Drosophila melanogaster: one gene and its partners. The protein of the gene in region 3 interacts with the protein of the main gene of each other region in a pairwise test. Each region holds a gene or a part of one and is shown on either strand. Other genes may lie near its edges.

Region 1 (5,889 bases), on a different chromosome or scaffold from region 3:
TATATGTATACCCCTAGCCGTACTGGTCCCGAAATGGGACCTTCGATAAAGTTTTGTAAATACATCAATTCGGTGTATCAACAAATGTTCTTTAATAGTTCAATCGGTAACAAAGACAATAATTAATATAATGTTTATAAAAATCAGTACAATTGATGTTATTTAGTATTCCTACCACAGGGCTTGAATGGTCACTGGGAATGGGATTCCATTGGAATTAGCCACTCTCAATGGACTCGATGAGAGCAGAATCAGTCCTTGAGCTCGTGGACCGTTCCTAATCTGCTTGGTCAGGCGAGCGGGTGCCTGCTGGACAGGCTGAACTTCCTCTGCATCCGGATCGGGTGTAAAGTCTTGCGGCTCCTCATCGCTGGGTAGCTGCTCAACTGCATCGGTAGGCGGTGGGCCGTAGGTCAGATCCGGTGGTCCATATGTCTGATCCGGAACTCCTTCCTCGAATGGCACCTCCGGCTTCAGTTCGTCGGCGGATGGATAGGGTGCTGCCTGCTGTTTCTGAAGTTGCTTTGCCAGCCGTGCTGGCTGAGCTGAAACCGCTCCAAGTGCCAGGACCAGAACCAGCAAGGAACAGGATGACTTCACGTAGCTGCGCATATTGGCTTTGACGCAAGAGATACACGAACTTATGAGGGAACCGTTGTTGATTGATTGATAACTTTGCTGTTCATTACCTGTCTTTTTATATGTTTTTCGGGTACTACGTGGATGGATTAATCAATTTTTGGTGGTAAAACGTGGTCGTTTGGTTAATGACTGGGTCATCCAGTGGCCCTTGTGGTCATTTGGAGTTGTCGTCAATGTCACGTTGCAGGTGCCCAAAACGGGAAATCAATCAGCCCATTAATTTCAGTGTCAATGTTAGCCAGAATAATTTTTTTTATGAGTTATGGAAAATTATAATAAATACACATTGCATAAATATGTTTTAATACATTATTAAAAGTTGTTATATGCATATCACTAATTTTCATGCAATGGGCTCTTAAAATTCCCAAGTTCTTTTTCCGCATGGAGTGCTTATAAAGCGCGACAAGTGTGTGGTCCAAACGTGTTGTTTGGAAGGAGAGCAAGTTAGCACTCCCCTAGACAAGGATGGAACACATAAACGGTCGGCTAGGCACAGACAAAAGCCGTCCACAAATTTTTTTAAATCTTATGATAGCTTAATGCCAAATATCCCTTAATAAAATAGAAAAAACACATCAAACATATACATTTCTATATTCAGAAGCTCTACTTGTCAAATGGTAAAAATAGTCAGAGGTATAAAAACATATCAATTTAGTCTTGAACTTATCACTACGCACTAGAGATTCAAATAATTGAATGTCAGTCAGTCATGACCACTACATCGGGTATTGTAAAATCTTGTTCTTACAAAAAATCCTGATTTAGGAGCTAAGGTGTGCTTAGCCATTTTTACGAGCTAAGTAGTAGCTGAAGGTGGGATCTATACTCCTGACAGAACTGGGCAGATAAGTAAAAAAGGTACGACGAATCCTGGAACTGTTGACAAAGCGCAGGCTGTGCTGCGCCTGCCAGCAGAGACGGGATTGCTTCAGGACGATCTGAAGGACTTCATCGCGAAATGACTTCTTAAATTTGTTGGATTTTTCCATAATTTCCTTGTGCAGTGCATATGGAATGGGATTTTGTTTTACGATCAGCGGATCTATATTAGTTAGCAGCGGAATCAATTTCTTTTCCATCTCCGACAATTTAGCCATATTGTGTCTGTAGCTTTCGAAATCCGCATGGCTTTGTGGACCATATCGCTTACCATATCTCCTACAAATCCATTCCCGTACTTCCGGAATTTGATGGCCATTGTGGAGGCTGGCCAGCACCAGTTTGCTGTCGCGACGCAAGATTTCAAAGCCATCGCTTAGCATTTGGTCCATGAACTTGTCATCATCGGGATCGATTCGCTCGCGATTGTAGACGAGGCGTTCGATGGAATCCTTGGGTGTCGGCGTAGTCGGCACCGCCAGCAAACTCTTCTCAAAGATTTTTCTCACACATCGGGACACGGCTTCGTTGATGTGACTTCTCCTTATCGGCCCCGATGCAAGGACTCCTTGTCGATGCTCATTTTTTTGGCCACCGAGTGCTTCCATTAAGGACTTCTTAACGACATCATTTGTGTCCAAAGACTGCTTGCTGTTCCTTTTGAAAACGTGTGGATAGTTGAAGGCGAAGGGCTTGTGGTCTCCGGGTGACGTGAAATATTCAGGTATGGCAATAGAATCCTCCTCCTCCTCCTGCTCCTCCTCCGCCAATACATCTGGTTCGCCATCCTCACCAGCGCAGAGTCGCATCAGCGCACCACTCCTGTCGTACAGACGTCCCCATTCACCTTCGAGGAGTAGCACCTGGGGAGGAGTGTCCAAGCTTACGTGCACCAATTCGTTGCAAGCAACACAACCGGCTTTCCGGAAAGCAGGCACACCAGGACTCCAGCCCTTGTCACCAAACTTTAGAAGGTACTCATCCACGTCGCGATTAATGTGATGCAAAATCCGTTCCCTTGTAAGCTTCACCAGAGAAATGAATGTCAACAATTATTCATAAATTAATTATAGATAATTTTGTTAATAGGATTACTCACTCGCTTTGCGGTCCCTTCCAAGTCAATCATATCCAAATAGCGTCGTCGCTGCTCTTGCAGGAACGCCTGTCGCTCCTGGGTTCGAGTTTCCTCATGGAACCCGCACAGATCCCTCGCTTTCTGTGCAGGATCCGTGGTAACCTCGTCTATGTGGTCGAAAAGGTGACACAGTTCGTGTTTGATAACTGCCTTAACTGTTCGCTGGATGGGATGAAACTGGAAGTCGGCATACCAACGGTCCTCATCTTCTTTGGGATCGCCCACTTCGTTAGGGATCTGAATCTTTAACAGCGGCGAATCCGACAAAAACTGATTAGACCGACGGGGAGTGGTTTTGGGACGTGGTTGCTTTTGAAAGTAGTAGCTTTTGCGCGAAGACGATGGTTTCTTTTTAGTTGTATGCGAGGAAAGAACTTTGTCCAGAGCTCGAAATGTAGCCGGTAGATCCAGTGGCATTTCTTCATCTATATTTTGTGGATAGGTCTTAGAATTCGGTATTATGATGGAAGGCCGAGCAGAGCGATTCTGAAAGAGGGCAAAAGACCAAAACTTCTTTTTAATATAATAGTTTTAACTCTAATTAGCAGCTTACATTATTAATCTGTCGATTTTTCATCTGTATCTTGGTTTGCCCACATAAAACACCGGGTAGAGGTAGCACTTTGTCTAGAGCTCGAAAAGTTGCAGGCAAATCCAGATAGGCGATGGCCGAGAGCAGAAGTTGTCCATTAACTGAGTACTTTCCGCACGAAGTGCCGGTGTCGTAGTGCTCCTGGAATAGAAAGTAGAGAAAGGCCAGTTTCTGGCCACGACTGAAACGCCAAATTCTATGGAGTTCACGATTTCTGATCAAAGGTTGCACTCCCAGGCGCAGCAGACAATCCCGAATGGACCTAATATCGAATTGCAGTGCCGTTCCCAGCTCATCGGCCGCCTGCATCTGATCGAGCGATAGACCACGATACCAACTAGCCACGGGTAGTCCCAAATCAACACCTGTATTCTTTACCATGTTCCTAGCAAGTGGATAAATTCACAAGTAAAACGAAGAACAAACAATTTAAGAAACTTGGTAAATTTTGTGGGTGTTGCAAATAGCTTGAATGAGTGAATTTGGAAATAATACTCAGTGCAGACCTGTCTACACTGTGTTCATATACAATAAAATCATTAAACGAGCTGTTTTTTTTTATTCAAGCTACAAAACAATATTTTCTTTATGTTTAGGCCCACTGGTCTGCTTGGCAAACGAAAGATTTTTTTTCAAAACACTCATCATAGGACATCTCTTTAGCATAGATGTAAACGCATTGATTCTTTTTTTTTGTATCCTGATTACTCTTCCATTTGACAAAGAAGGGTTCTCGTCCGGTTAGGGTGGAGACGAATGTGCCGCCATTTTCAACCAGTTTGGATATATCTATCCAGTAGCTATTGTTGGGTGCTAACGCCAAGATGCCATCCAGCTCCATCTCATCCTGGATGTTCGCCAGATGACCGTTCATTTTACGACATGTGACATATGCCTCAAACCAAGTTTGCATTAGATTCTTCTCGATGTGAAAATGTCTGGAGCCAACTTTCTCGAATCGTCTCATCTTGATGTTGTTAGACGCTTTGATGTTGGATGCATGGTGTCGCATTATAATCTTTAACGGCTGAAGCTGGATTTCCATCTGGGCCTTAAACTCCAGCAAGCTACTTGCTATGCGCATTTCCATTGTATCAATAATTGCCAATGTTTCGTTTTGTTTAAGCGCGTTGTATGTAAACCAATAATTCTGGTTAATACCAATCTGATCGATTGTATTTTGCGGCGTTTGTGGACTTGGCAATGTAGCCTTTCCGTTCGGAATGTCCTGCTGCCCACCACTGAGATCCCAAAGGTTCCATAATGCCAACAGGTATAAGAGGTTAGATGCGTACATGTCCAGTTTGGAAGATTTCAAGCGTGTGAGATCCAATCTGGCTAAAGAACTTCCAATGAGCTCAACTAATTTTGTCACGCTTTTTAATGATAATGTAACCGTTTTAAAGCATCACTGTGAAAAGCAAAAAGGCTGGAAAAATTAAAAAAAATGAAAATCTACTATGGTGTATTGAAAAAAAAAAATATAAAATGCCTAAAGTTAATAGCTTTATTATTAAAGACACATTGCAATTTTGATGATTTAAAAAAAATACATATTAAAGTTTAAAGGAGTTCAATTTTTAAACCTTTATTATCAAAGTCACATTTAAAGTTTAAAATAGTTCTAAAAATCAATGCTCGATATTCAGGCCCATTGCTCGGCTTGGCAAGCAAAATAGTTATCATTGGCACAATTTTCAAAGTACATTTCATTGGAATTGATATACACGCAATGGTTATGTATATTTGTGGCCAGATTTGGCTTCCATTTCAGAAATGGTACATCCCTTCCGGATAGTGTAGAAATCCAGGACGCTCCATCGTTGGCACGGCTGTTGATATCTACCCAGTACTTTTTTTTGGTTTCCTCTGAGAATATTTCATTCAGCTCCTTCTCATCGAGGATATTCGCCAGGTGACCGCCCATTTGACGACACGTGTCGTATGCGCTATCCCAGGGCATCTTCTTTTGCTTTTCTAAGTAAAAGTGCCGGGAGCCAATCTTCTTGAATACGGACATTTTGATTTTGTTGGACATTTTAACGTTTTCCATGTAGGGTTCAATTTGTTGCTTTAGAGCCCGAAGTTTAGTTTCCATCTGGTTTTGAAAGGACTGCAATCGCATTTCTAAGCGTTGCTCCATATTACCAATTCTCCACAAAGTTCCATTTTGTCTTAGCGAATTGTAGGTAAACCAGTGCTGCTGGTGCATATCAATATTCTCGATTGTATAATACGGCATTGGTGCTTTTGGCAATTCATTTGTTCCTGTGGAAGTATCCTGCTTTTTGGCACTGACGCCCCAAAAGTTCCATAAAGCGAAAATGGAGAAAATGCAAGTTGCGTACTTGTACATTTCGAGGGCTAATAGTCTGTGAGATCAATTATTTAATTCCTCCTCGGACTAACCCTTTTTTTTACACTTCCCAACGAGATAATCACCCGGAACATTAACCTTTTCAAGCATTAAATACTCTGTTAAAAATTCGATAAAGATCCGAGAAATCTAGAGATATATTCTAGACTTCATTCAAGCCCATCTTCCCAGTTAAATACCATTACAAATGAACCAAAAAAAGTTAATGAAAAACGTATAAACTGCAAGAGAAGTTTATTGCTTAAGTGGATGCTT
Region 2 (4,556 bases), on a different chromosome or scaffold from region 3:
AGTCACGACGGAGTCGTGTGAAAATCTGAATATACGCTGGAATTCCGAGGATTGGAGGATAATAGTGAGCAAGAGGACAATAACGACTGGTTCACCGACGACGAGAGAACGCGTCTGCTGCCCGGGAAAAGGGGAAAATCAGCAACCACTGGCTTGCGGCTGAAAATTCGGCAGTTGACTTCTAATCTGCTCAACGTGGAGGAGGTTCGCAACGTCGCACGGAGCCTACGTCAACCGAGTTATCAGAAGCTCTTTCAGCAGGACAAGAGCCAGCAGGACATCCGCAATAACCCAAAAACCATGACAACGCCCTCCACTTCCGTGGGCGATGCAGCCGCCGCCTTGTCCGGCAATCTTCAGTTGCCGCCTCTGCGAACCCTCGATGACTTCATCCTGGGATCGGCCCGATTCCAACTGCCCAATCTCAAGGATTTTGAGAAGTGGGGCAATCGGGTGGTGAAGAACCTGCTCTATTACCAAACAAACTACTTTTTGCTCTTCATTACCATCTACGTTTTGATGATTTTCTTCAATCCTTCAAAGATTATTACTGGTCTGCTGGTGCAGGCTTTGATCATAGGCGTTATCTGGCAGTTCTTCAGCGGAAAGTCGAAGAAGAACTTCATCGCCAGTCGTCTGACTGGTGGAAATGCCAATGCAGCAGAGCAGAATGCCCAACAGAAATGGTACATACTGGCTGGAGCTCTGCTCGGAGGTTATCTTCTTCTGCATCTGCTGAGCGCAGTGCTTTTGACGATTTTCACCGTGTTGCTACCTATTTCGCTGACCTTCATCCACGCCTCCTTGCGACTGCGAAACATCAAGAACAAGCTGACCAACAGCATCGAGAGCTTTGCTCCCTCCACGCCCATGGGCTCCTTGCTGGATGCCTTAAATGTCCGGGCCGAAGGCGTCTTTAATTAGACTGACCAGTTTGACACAGTTGGAATGATCGTTTTTATCGCTAGTTATCCTTGTCAATGTTGATCCTTGCAAAGCAAATCCCGGTATTGTAATCGATTTTGATTTTTACTTTTGTATTAAACTATGATTTTATGCAGCCATCATGTAACGCAAATATTACAAATGTCAATAAAGTTTTCCCAGGAATTTCGCTGTGTTGCTCCTCTAAAGATAATGTTATCTTATAAGGGCCAATCCTCTCACCCAAATCAAAAGTTGAAACCTTTGATAGTTAGTAGCGTAAACAAGATATAGACTTTATGATAGCCGCCCATGCAGTTACTCGCGTTTATTCTATCACATAAAATAGTATTGGCTTTTGATTTCAATTTAAGGTTTCCTCGATGTTATTACTCCTATTTTTAGTTGGTAGGCATTTTAGTTGTTCAGGGGGTGGAGAGCTGGAGCGTTGGACGCTGCAATTTCGGCGGCAGTGAGAGAATCATCGTTTTTCCCACCCGTCTGCGATAAATGCTTGACGAGGTCCACCCAATCCCAGCCACGTTCCCGGTCTCCTTTGTGATCGGTTCTCTCCCACTGCCGGCGCTTTTGCGCCTTAGTCAGGTGCTCCTTCTTGGGCTCCTTTTTCTTGGACTCCGCATCGGCATTGGGATCGGAGATCTTTAGAGCACCCACGCCATCATCCACTAACGCCACCGTGGGTGCAGATTCGGGTTGCTCTGCGGTCAATTGCTCCAGGTTGTCCTTAAGGCATTCGAACAGGGTATAGGTCATGCCACAGCCCAGCCATTGGTCCGCTTCCGTACTCAGAGCCGTTTGGATCCCTTCCTTGACAGCTGGCAGTCTGTTAAATAGGAAAGCGTAGTCTTTAGAGCTAAACCTGCTCCAATTTCCCAAGGAATAACGATCCACTTACAGATTCCTATTGTAAAACGCGTTCATGTTGATCGCTGGCGCCTCATCGGGGTAATTTTCGCCCCACTTGAGCTCGACCAAGAACGACTTGTAGTTATCCTCTTCGCCATACTAAAATTTCATTTATTATATTACAAATTATCATATTTGTGTGCTTTTTTTTATCCATGTGGCTTACTTTGTACTGAAATGTGACGCTATCTATTTCCTTGAAGTTCGTGTCGCCCTCGTATATTGACTGCAACGCCTCCCGTTCTTCCGTCTGCTGTTCCAGTGGCGTGCTCATAGTAAATTGTGTGGATTATCTTTACTGTTCAAGATTTTATCATTTTTTGTTAAACAAGACAAAAATCAAAATTTGTAACAAAAACAAAAGCAACAGTAACAATCAGCTGGCCACCGGTGGATGTGTGGCCGTTCTATCTCAAATCAGTTATAGCTTGTCTCCACTGGGTCCGCATGCGAAGCCTTAAAAAGGCTAAATAGGTGTTTTTGTTATTTATTGTAAAGGCTTGATTAAAATTATGTTTATAAATATATTCTATTATTTCATTTAAAATACTTCTGAAGTTTTTTTTATGTTTCCAAATGCAGTTAAAGGTTTTCAATCAAAATTAAAAAATAAATAAAAAGAGAAATGAAGCGTAATAGATGAAACCGAAGATGAAGGGTAAACAATCTTCGTAGGTGGGAATATCACGCATCTATTTCGATAGGCATAGCAAAGTTATCGAGCCAGTACAGTTCAGTTCGCAGCAGAATAACATAGAAGAACGCAAACAATAACAACATAAAAAAAAATCATAAAATGCACAGTGCGCGCGTGAATCATCGTTGAGCAACAATTAGCATTGATAAGCTCATGATCGCGCGGCGTCACTAGGAGCGGAAACAGGAACTGAGGCACACGCGACCCACGACAAGTATGTCGTCAGATGCGATTCCCGCATCGGAATGTGCGCACCTGATGGAATTCAAGCGATTTCTGGTCAGCACGGCGGAGAAGGCAGCAGCCGTAAGCGAGGAGGTGGTCAGCCGGAGTTGTGTAACTCGTACGGCCAATGAGACATACAAAGTGTCCGGCGAGGAGCGTCATGCCGAATTGGTCTCAGCTATTTGGAAACAACTGGAGACTCGAGGATGTCCGGCGCAGTTCCGGATTAAGCTACTCCATCGAAGCACACAGCAGCTGGAGCAGGATCTGTGCTTTGCCAAGGAGTGTGAAGTCACCGTGGAGGGTCCGCCGCAGTACGATCTTCTCAAGCTGCAGAAGTTCGTGGCCAGTGAGTTTGAGAAGTACATCCTAAAACTCACCGACAACTCGGAGGTGGATCGCCTCAAGGACTTCGCTGATGAGGCGGCGCCGGAAAACTGCGAGTGCCACCAGCAGAAAGAACCCCTGCACACATCTGCCGCTGTAAAGAACAAACCCCGCAAAATGGAGGATCGCTGTGTTTGCCTGGATCGATTTGGTGAAATGTACGAGCTGCTGGACAAGACCACCCGTTTTTTTGGCGTCTTTGATGGTCACTCTGGCTCTTTATCCGCCACCTATGCAACCAGCCAACTCCCACAACTGCTAGCCGATCAGCTTAAAGCAAATCCAGATCCTGCTGCATTCTCCCCAGACTTTTATCGCAATGCCTTCGAGTCGGCATTTTTGCTGGCCGACGAGCGTTTCACCCAGAAGAAGATCACCAGCGGCACAACCAGCGTGTGTGCCTTGATCACAAAGGATCAGCTTTATATCGCTTGGGTGGGCGATTCCAAGGCCCTTCTCGTGGGCAAGCGGACTCAACTGCAGCTGGTGAAACCGCACAAGCCAGAGAATCCGGATGAGCGCAAGAGAATAGAAACAGCTGGTGGAACAGTGCTCCACGCCCAGGGGCAGTGGCGTGTAAATGGCATTCTTAACGTGGCCCGCTCCATTGGCGACTACAGCCTTGAGGCAGTGATCGCAGAGCCGGACTTCGTGGATGTGCAGTTAAATGAGGCTCACGACTTTCTCGTACTAGGCACCGATGGCCTGTGGGATCATGTGCCCGAGTCGCTCATAATCGAAACCGTTTACGATTCCCTAGCGGATACCACAATGAAGTTGGACGACATTCCCAAACTGCTGATAGAGGCTGCCAAGGAGCGGGATTCCCAGGATAACATAACAGCGGTGGTGGTTTTGCTCAAACCGCGACATCAGATCGAACATCTTTAAAAGTTTAGGTCCGAGCAGCAAATTTTTTATATTGTTACCCGCCTTGGGATGGGTTAATTTTGTACAAATTCAAAGCAACTTAAAAGTCGTAGAAGCGAAAAGTAATCTTGAATCAACGCCCTTTGTGTGGTGGGATAACACGAAAAGTCATATCAAATTTTACGTATTCGAAAGAGAAAAATGTGCCAAATATTTTTAAACAATTCAAGAACGCAATATACACTTGATATTGGCATGCATATTGTGGGAATATAAGTAATATAATCCATTTTCTAAAAGATTATTGAACGTACGCAATCGTTTAATGTGATACAACGAAAATAAGGTATTACAAGATGATAGAACCCAAGTCCTTGCCTAATTAAAAACTAATAATATGCCCAAAGATTACTTTCCGAACCTACATTTGCAAATTAATCAACGAGAATTAACCCAAACCGGCCCATTGTTGTTTCGTTTACTTTACGTTATTGTTGTAATGTAAATAGCTTGGAGCTGTTCGGAG
Region 3 (5,804 bases):
AGTTGTCGCAATAATTGAGGACATCCAGCAGTTACGGCACCACGACCAAGGTGCTACACGTATGCGTGTGTGAGGGAATACTGCGGCAAATGCCAACCGCATTCTCAATGAGGCATCCTCAAAACGTGTCCCACCAGCAACAAGTTCGCCATTTCTGCGTAACGCATCGATAGAAAATATATAATTCAAGCCGAACACTAAAATACCAGAGAAATCACATGTAGTACCCAAAAATAAATAAATTAGCAGATCTAAGGCCAATTTCAGGTAACTCAAATATAATGTGGTATAAATTTCCGCACAATATAAGCTGCATTGAATGAAAGCTTTCTTTATATTTAACTTACTAAATGAAGTATAAACAAATAAATAAAAATAGATTTTAAACTATGTTTTAGAATAATTTTTGATTAGATAATGTAAACATTTCCAGCTGATCAGCCATTTGTCTTGTCGACCTCTTGAAAAATTGAGAGTAGAGCAGGACCACAATTTACTGATGGAATTTTTACACAAGTTATTTATTTTGTTTCTATTGCTGGCCGCTTCATTCATGACGACTTCATTTACTTGACGAATGTGCCCGTGCAGGACGAAGGATCCACGCTGCTGGCTTTATTAATATTTATAAGTTGGACTCTCTAGCAGGAGCTTAGCCAAAGCCGCAATAATTCCCCCGACCACGCAATCAAAATCAACCCTCTTGGAAATTCCGATGGCTGGCTGGAGACAGCCACTTGGTTCGCTTAACATTTTCAATTTCAATCTAATCTAAATTACATGATATGCGCACAATTTGAACGCTAATGAGCAAGGAATTTGTGGTAAGATGGTGGCGGAGCAACGCTGCGTATGCGCAACATATTGCGTGTGAATTTTAATTAAAAACTTTTCTCACTTTCCAACCGAGATAATCTCTGTCCCACCGCCTTTTCCTCGAAATCTCCCACTGCGAATCGGATGTCCTTTCGTGTTGGCTGCTGTTGTTGCTGTTGCTTCGATTGCATCGATTTTCTGCTAACTTTGAACGGTATTTGAAAGGAGCTTAAGCTTGTTTCTTTTATTTGCGCTACCTTCGCGCGAAACCCGATTCCATGGGCAGCAAACAGGACCAGGTTGGCTAACAAATTCTTGGAGCTATTCAGCGGTTAGCGGTTGGGGTAAACAACTTCTATAATCACTGTAATGCGATCAAGCATAAAGATGGCTCTAGCTGACCGTTTATTTAGATGGGTAAACGGGTAATCCTATTTTTAGCCATGTTTATTAGACGAGAACAGCTTCTTTCACTAATGCGATTTAAAGAAAGCCTAATTTTTTAAAATAACTATACTTAATTAGTTGCAATCTCTTTCACATTTACATCACCCCTGCTAAGTAGAGGGTATGTGGTAGTCGAAGAACTCGTCTATAGCGCCCTCCCTGATTGTTGTAAAGTTGTAATAATAGTAATAAGTTAAAATATGTTGGTAGAGGATTTCAATGAGGTATTTTATTTCAATAAAATTCCGCTTAGAACATTCACCATTCGTTGCATTCCGTTCGCCCTCTAACCTGTTAACTTGGTTTTAATTTACACTTAATTACGTGCATTGCCGTGGCAAAAGTGCAACAGATTGCTTCGTGGATTGCTTCATTAATTGTCCTCTGTTGTGGCAACTACCATCCTGCCGCATCTCCCCTCTAATAACACATTACCAAGCTGCTGGTCCTGCTATTTAATGGCCTCACATGTGTCGGGAGATAGGGACAAAAATTAACCTTTGACCTGAATGTGTACGGTATCGCGTCACTTGGCTGTGCAAACAAATTGTTTCACGTCAAAAAGTTCCATTATTCGATTATGAGCCGGTCGAATAATACATTAGTAATGCAATTAATTAGTATATAAAGAATTCCGTATTCACACCGCCATCGGCACCAAATGATTAACTTCCATGGCAATTGTTTTGCTTAGGGCCCAACCACTTGCTTGATTCCCTTCCCATAACTGCTCTTTTCTGGCCAAGAGCACCTGCCCGCTCTTTGGAATTCCCAGTTGCTTTCTCTTCGTTTGCCCACGCAGCCGCATCAAGCTATTCCGAAAATAAAGCAGCCGACTTGTGGACGTTGCGTATACGCAGTGTTGTCGCCGCCGTTCGTTTGGAACCACTGTTCAGTCGCTAGCTGGACGTGATGTTGGCCGGAAGAGCAGCACGGCAAACAAATAAAGACTTAGCCAAAACAGCTGAACAATAGCTGAGCTGAACTGAACTCCAGGCCGTAACAAGTGTGGCAGTAGTTAGGTGTTCGTGCCGCTGAAACAACAAGTATCCAGCACAGTACTTTCTATTTCGGTTAGTCGGTCGGTCGGTTGGTCGTTTGGTCGGTTTGTCCGAGTGTGTGCGTGTTGGCCACCTAAGTCCTGGTGCGTGCGTGTGTGTGCGCGCTAACTGTGTTTTTGGATGCAAATCAAAGCGCAGCTCACCTGAAAAGTATGCTTTAAATTTTTACTATCGCCACTCCGCGTGTGTACTTGTAACTCTGAAAAGTTTCTGTTTCTGTGTTTATTTGACTACCGCGGCGCATTTACATAAGTAAACTTTGGCATGCGCGCGGCCTGCTGCCGCTGATGTAGATGTAACGACGTCGACGTTGGCACTGAATAATTAATGCAATCAAGCAATTTGAACCCGTTCCGCCGTGGAGTGTGCCTGGGCCAGTGCCACAACGGTTTCAACGTGACCATAATGAGAGCTCCCCAAGCTACAAGTCACTAAGTGTGCCCGAAAAGCCCAATAACACAAAGAGATAACCTGACCAAAATTCGCAACAAAAAAAAAAAAAAAATACAACACACAAGAAGCCTGAGGAACAAGGAGGGAATACACTATATTTTTCGACAGAACTATAGCTATACTATACCATATTAACAAGAGAGAGTCTACTATATATGTACTTACTTAGTGCTAACTGACCACGCATATTCCAATCATAAATTATCGTGATAAAAATTCTTAGGCGCTGAAAGCCAATTTCAATTTTCACCCAAAAACGATAGAAGAAGAAAAGCCCCTGAAAGAGAAGAGAGAGAGAGAGAGGGATATACGCTGTCTGCAGACCAACAAATTACTAATAATAATTTTTAGATTTAAACGACAACAAAAACGAGACTAACAAACATCTGCTGGCCACACAAGGAACGTATACAAATAAATGCGGGTATATAGCAAAATGTAGACAGCTTGGCAAATATATTTCGATTAAAATATATACCAAATTGAACTGGACAGAGCTTTGACACGAAAACCAAATCGTTTGCCAAGTGAATTTTATGAAATTCGCCTGATTATTGCGGCAACAATAGAGATAAGATTCGGAATCAGAGGAAAAGCGTTTAAGTGAATGGGAAAAAGCAGCCAACAGGTTGTCGACGACAGATAAGGCCAACATTTTCTCGAAATTGGTAAGTTGAAATCACAGCAGTGTAGAACGAATGAAAAATAATGAATGTGGCACTTCATTTCTACCACTTGGAAGGATAGTCTGATTTAGAAGTTTATTAAATGGTATGCTAAGTTTTGTCAATGATTTTATTTTGCTAAGAGCTTTGCCATCAACTAATAAAGGAGATTAAGCTTTGAAAACTTGATTGAAAATGAATTTGGGTTTCTGTGGAAGCTTAAGTTTTGCCAAAGTGAAAGAAACTACTGCAAGTTTTGAATAAACTAAATAATTTCTTTAGCAAAGTTAAAGTTTGACAAAAATCATTACAAACTAAAATGGTCATTTGGCTACTTTTAAAGCAATTTTCTTAATTGCATATATTTCGTGTTGGCAGAGTGCATTTAAAATTCTTTTTAAGTTTACTCACCTCACAATTCCCAAATCTGTATCCATTAATTAAGTGCAACTACTTACAGCTGAGAAATGTGATTAAAAGAATGCTATGCAGTTAAGAAATTAAAGTGTCATTGGTGACTTTCTTCACTCCTGCAAGTTCGTCGCTTTTTGCAAAGGTCCTGCGCACGGCTGCCCAATTCCTCCATCCATTATCCACGTAATCCCACTCGTCACGAGATTCCATCCGTCAAATCCCATTCCCGCCCAGCAGCAACATGTAAATGCTCCTGTAGTTCCGGAACATATGTGTACGAAATGAAAAGATCCCAAGGAGTAAACTGTAAACTGTAAAAATACTGACCATGTCGCAAAGTGCCATAAACAATTTTACAACATTTTTGCTGTCATAAGATTAAATGTGCATAAGCTGGAGGAGGGGCAAGGACAAGAAGAGCGCACTCCTCCGCAGGAGGATGAAAAAAAAAATGGAAAGTGCTAGGGAAAAAAAGGAGAAAGCTGTAGGAAAAGCTGGGCAATAGAGCACTGCGATGGGCGAAAGCGAAACAAAAGCAATAACTATAAAACAAACACGACAATTCGCTTCAACTTTGGGGCTACAAAAAATGGCTGAACACACACAGACAGAGGCAAACCGACTTTATGTGAAGAAAGAAAACAACGCTGAAGAACAACGGAGACTCACAGATACGAATACACTGGGTGAAAACTGAATGATTTAAATTACACAATAAAAGTATTGATTTAAGAGTGCTGGGCTCCGGTACACTGCAAGATAGGTTAGACAATGTAAACTTTAAAATATTTAAGATTTGGAAACTCCTTGGGGTTTAAAGGAATATTATATGGAGAGTATTTATGTTTTTCTCTGTAATATGTCTTGCATCGCTTTGGATTTTCTCACTTGAAGGACCCCACTTCGATTCCAGCACTTTTACTCGCGGTGTACACATACACAAGCCCATGTGCATTCATTCTGAGCTCCTTTTTTATGGCCGCTGGCGGTGGGTGTTCGTTGGTATGGTTTTGTTGAGGGTCGACTGGGCTATAAAGGTATGCAGCAGGCAGCAGACGACAGCATCCAATTACAAAGTGAATATTTCGAGACTTGTTGGTTTGACTCCCGCCTTTACGCTCGGGCAGCATATCTCGGTTTCCTTCCATGTTGACCTTAACATTTATTTCATCTGCTCTCTTCTCGGCTTTGTGTGGCAGCCTTAAAGTGACTTTCAAGTTTTTGGTACCGCCGTTACTGTCGCTGACCTGATTCTGATTTCTTCTTTAGTTGCACGAAAACGAGACCACCGAAAACACCGGGTCCATTCCCAAATGAAAACATTTTACGGGGAAGCCCCCACGGAGAGTGGTGTTAGTAGGAGGTCCTTGGGGGGAATAATGAGGTACGCGACCGTGCCCACTTGAGCACGTTCTACATGAACTGCTGGCCCAGCCGGCAATGGTGATGATGGCATGCTAATAACGTCCAACGACCACCTTCCTGAATGGCCAAAATACAAAAAATAAAAAAAGAAAACAAAAACGCTAAAAAACTGAGAAAACGACCAACATGTTTCGCCACGCTTTCGCATTTATACATGGCCTGTCATTTTAACATTATCCGCGCGAAAACCCCCCGATAGCTATCGGTGCGGTCCTGCTGCTATTTGACTCCGGGACTTTCCCCAAAATTTCGAGGGCCAACAAGTGTCCGCTTCAATGTTTGGGCAGCTGTGTGAAATTTAATTAGATTTACGACGGCTTTGTCCATCAAACACTGCCCGCTCACCCGTGGCGTATACGCAATGTCGCCATGCTGGGAGGTGGAGCACACACACAGGAAGCAATCACCTGCTGACCAACAAAGAGCACATTGTCCCCTCCTTTTGTGCCATGATTTTTGGACACTTTGTATGCCACGCGACATGTGTCAGGTGGGTTTAGTTCCAGCTTGGCTTTTGGTTCAT

What was found. The genes of interacting proteins can lie anywhere in the genome.
Region 1: the proteins of Stacl (region 3) and CG42820 interact in a two-hybrid assay, tested with the Drosophila melanogaster proteins (one large-scale study listed by BioGRID).
Region 2: the proteins of Stacl (region 3) and CG10343 interact in a two-hybrid assay, tested with the Drosophila melanogaster proteins (one large-scale study listed by BioGRID).

The regions. Positions count from the first base shown.
Region 1 is NT_033779.5:8,388,658-8,394,546, forward strand, and holds CG42820 (uncharacterized protein), read right to left. Parts: upstream 3,742-5,889; 5' UTR 3,639-3,741; coding exon 3,219-3,638; intron 3,152-3,218; coding exon 2,627-3,151; intron 2,553-2,626; coding exon 1,428-2,552; 3' UTR 1,224-1,427; downstream 1-1,223. Other genes in the region: CG42819 (uncharacterized protein), read right to left, coding at 172-612; Acp29AB (accessory gland protein 29AB), read right to left, coding at 3,850-4,554; lectin-29Ca, read right to left, coding at 4,903-5,613; Peritrophin-15b, read right to left, coding at 5,876-5,889.
Region 2 is NT_033779.5:18,701,122-18,705,677, reverse strand, and holds CG10343 (uncharacterized protein), read right to left. Parts: upstream 2,206-4,556; 5' UTR 2,126-2,205; coding exon 2,018-2,125; intron 1,951-2,017; coding exon 1,841-1,950; intron 1,769-1,840; coding exon 1,342-1,768; 3' UTR 1,224-1,341; downstream 1-1,223. Other genes in the region: Jwa, read left to right, coding at 301-924; CG10376 (uncharacterized protein), read left to right, coding at 2,765-4,051.
Region 3 is NT_033778.4:15,398,939-15,404,742, forward strand, and holds the start of Stacl (Stac-like), read left to right. Parts: upstream 1-2,157; 5' UTR 2,158-3,445; intron 3,446-5,757; exon of another isoform or gene 5,758-5,804.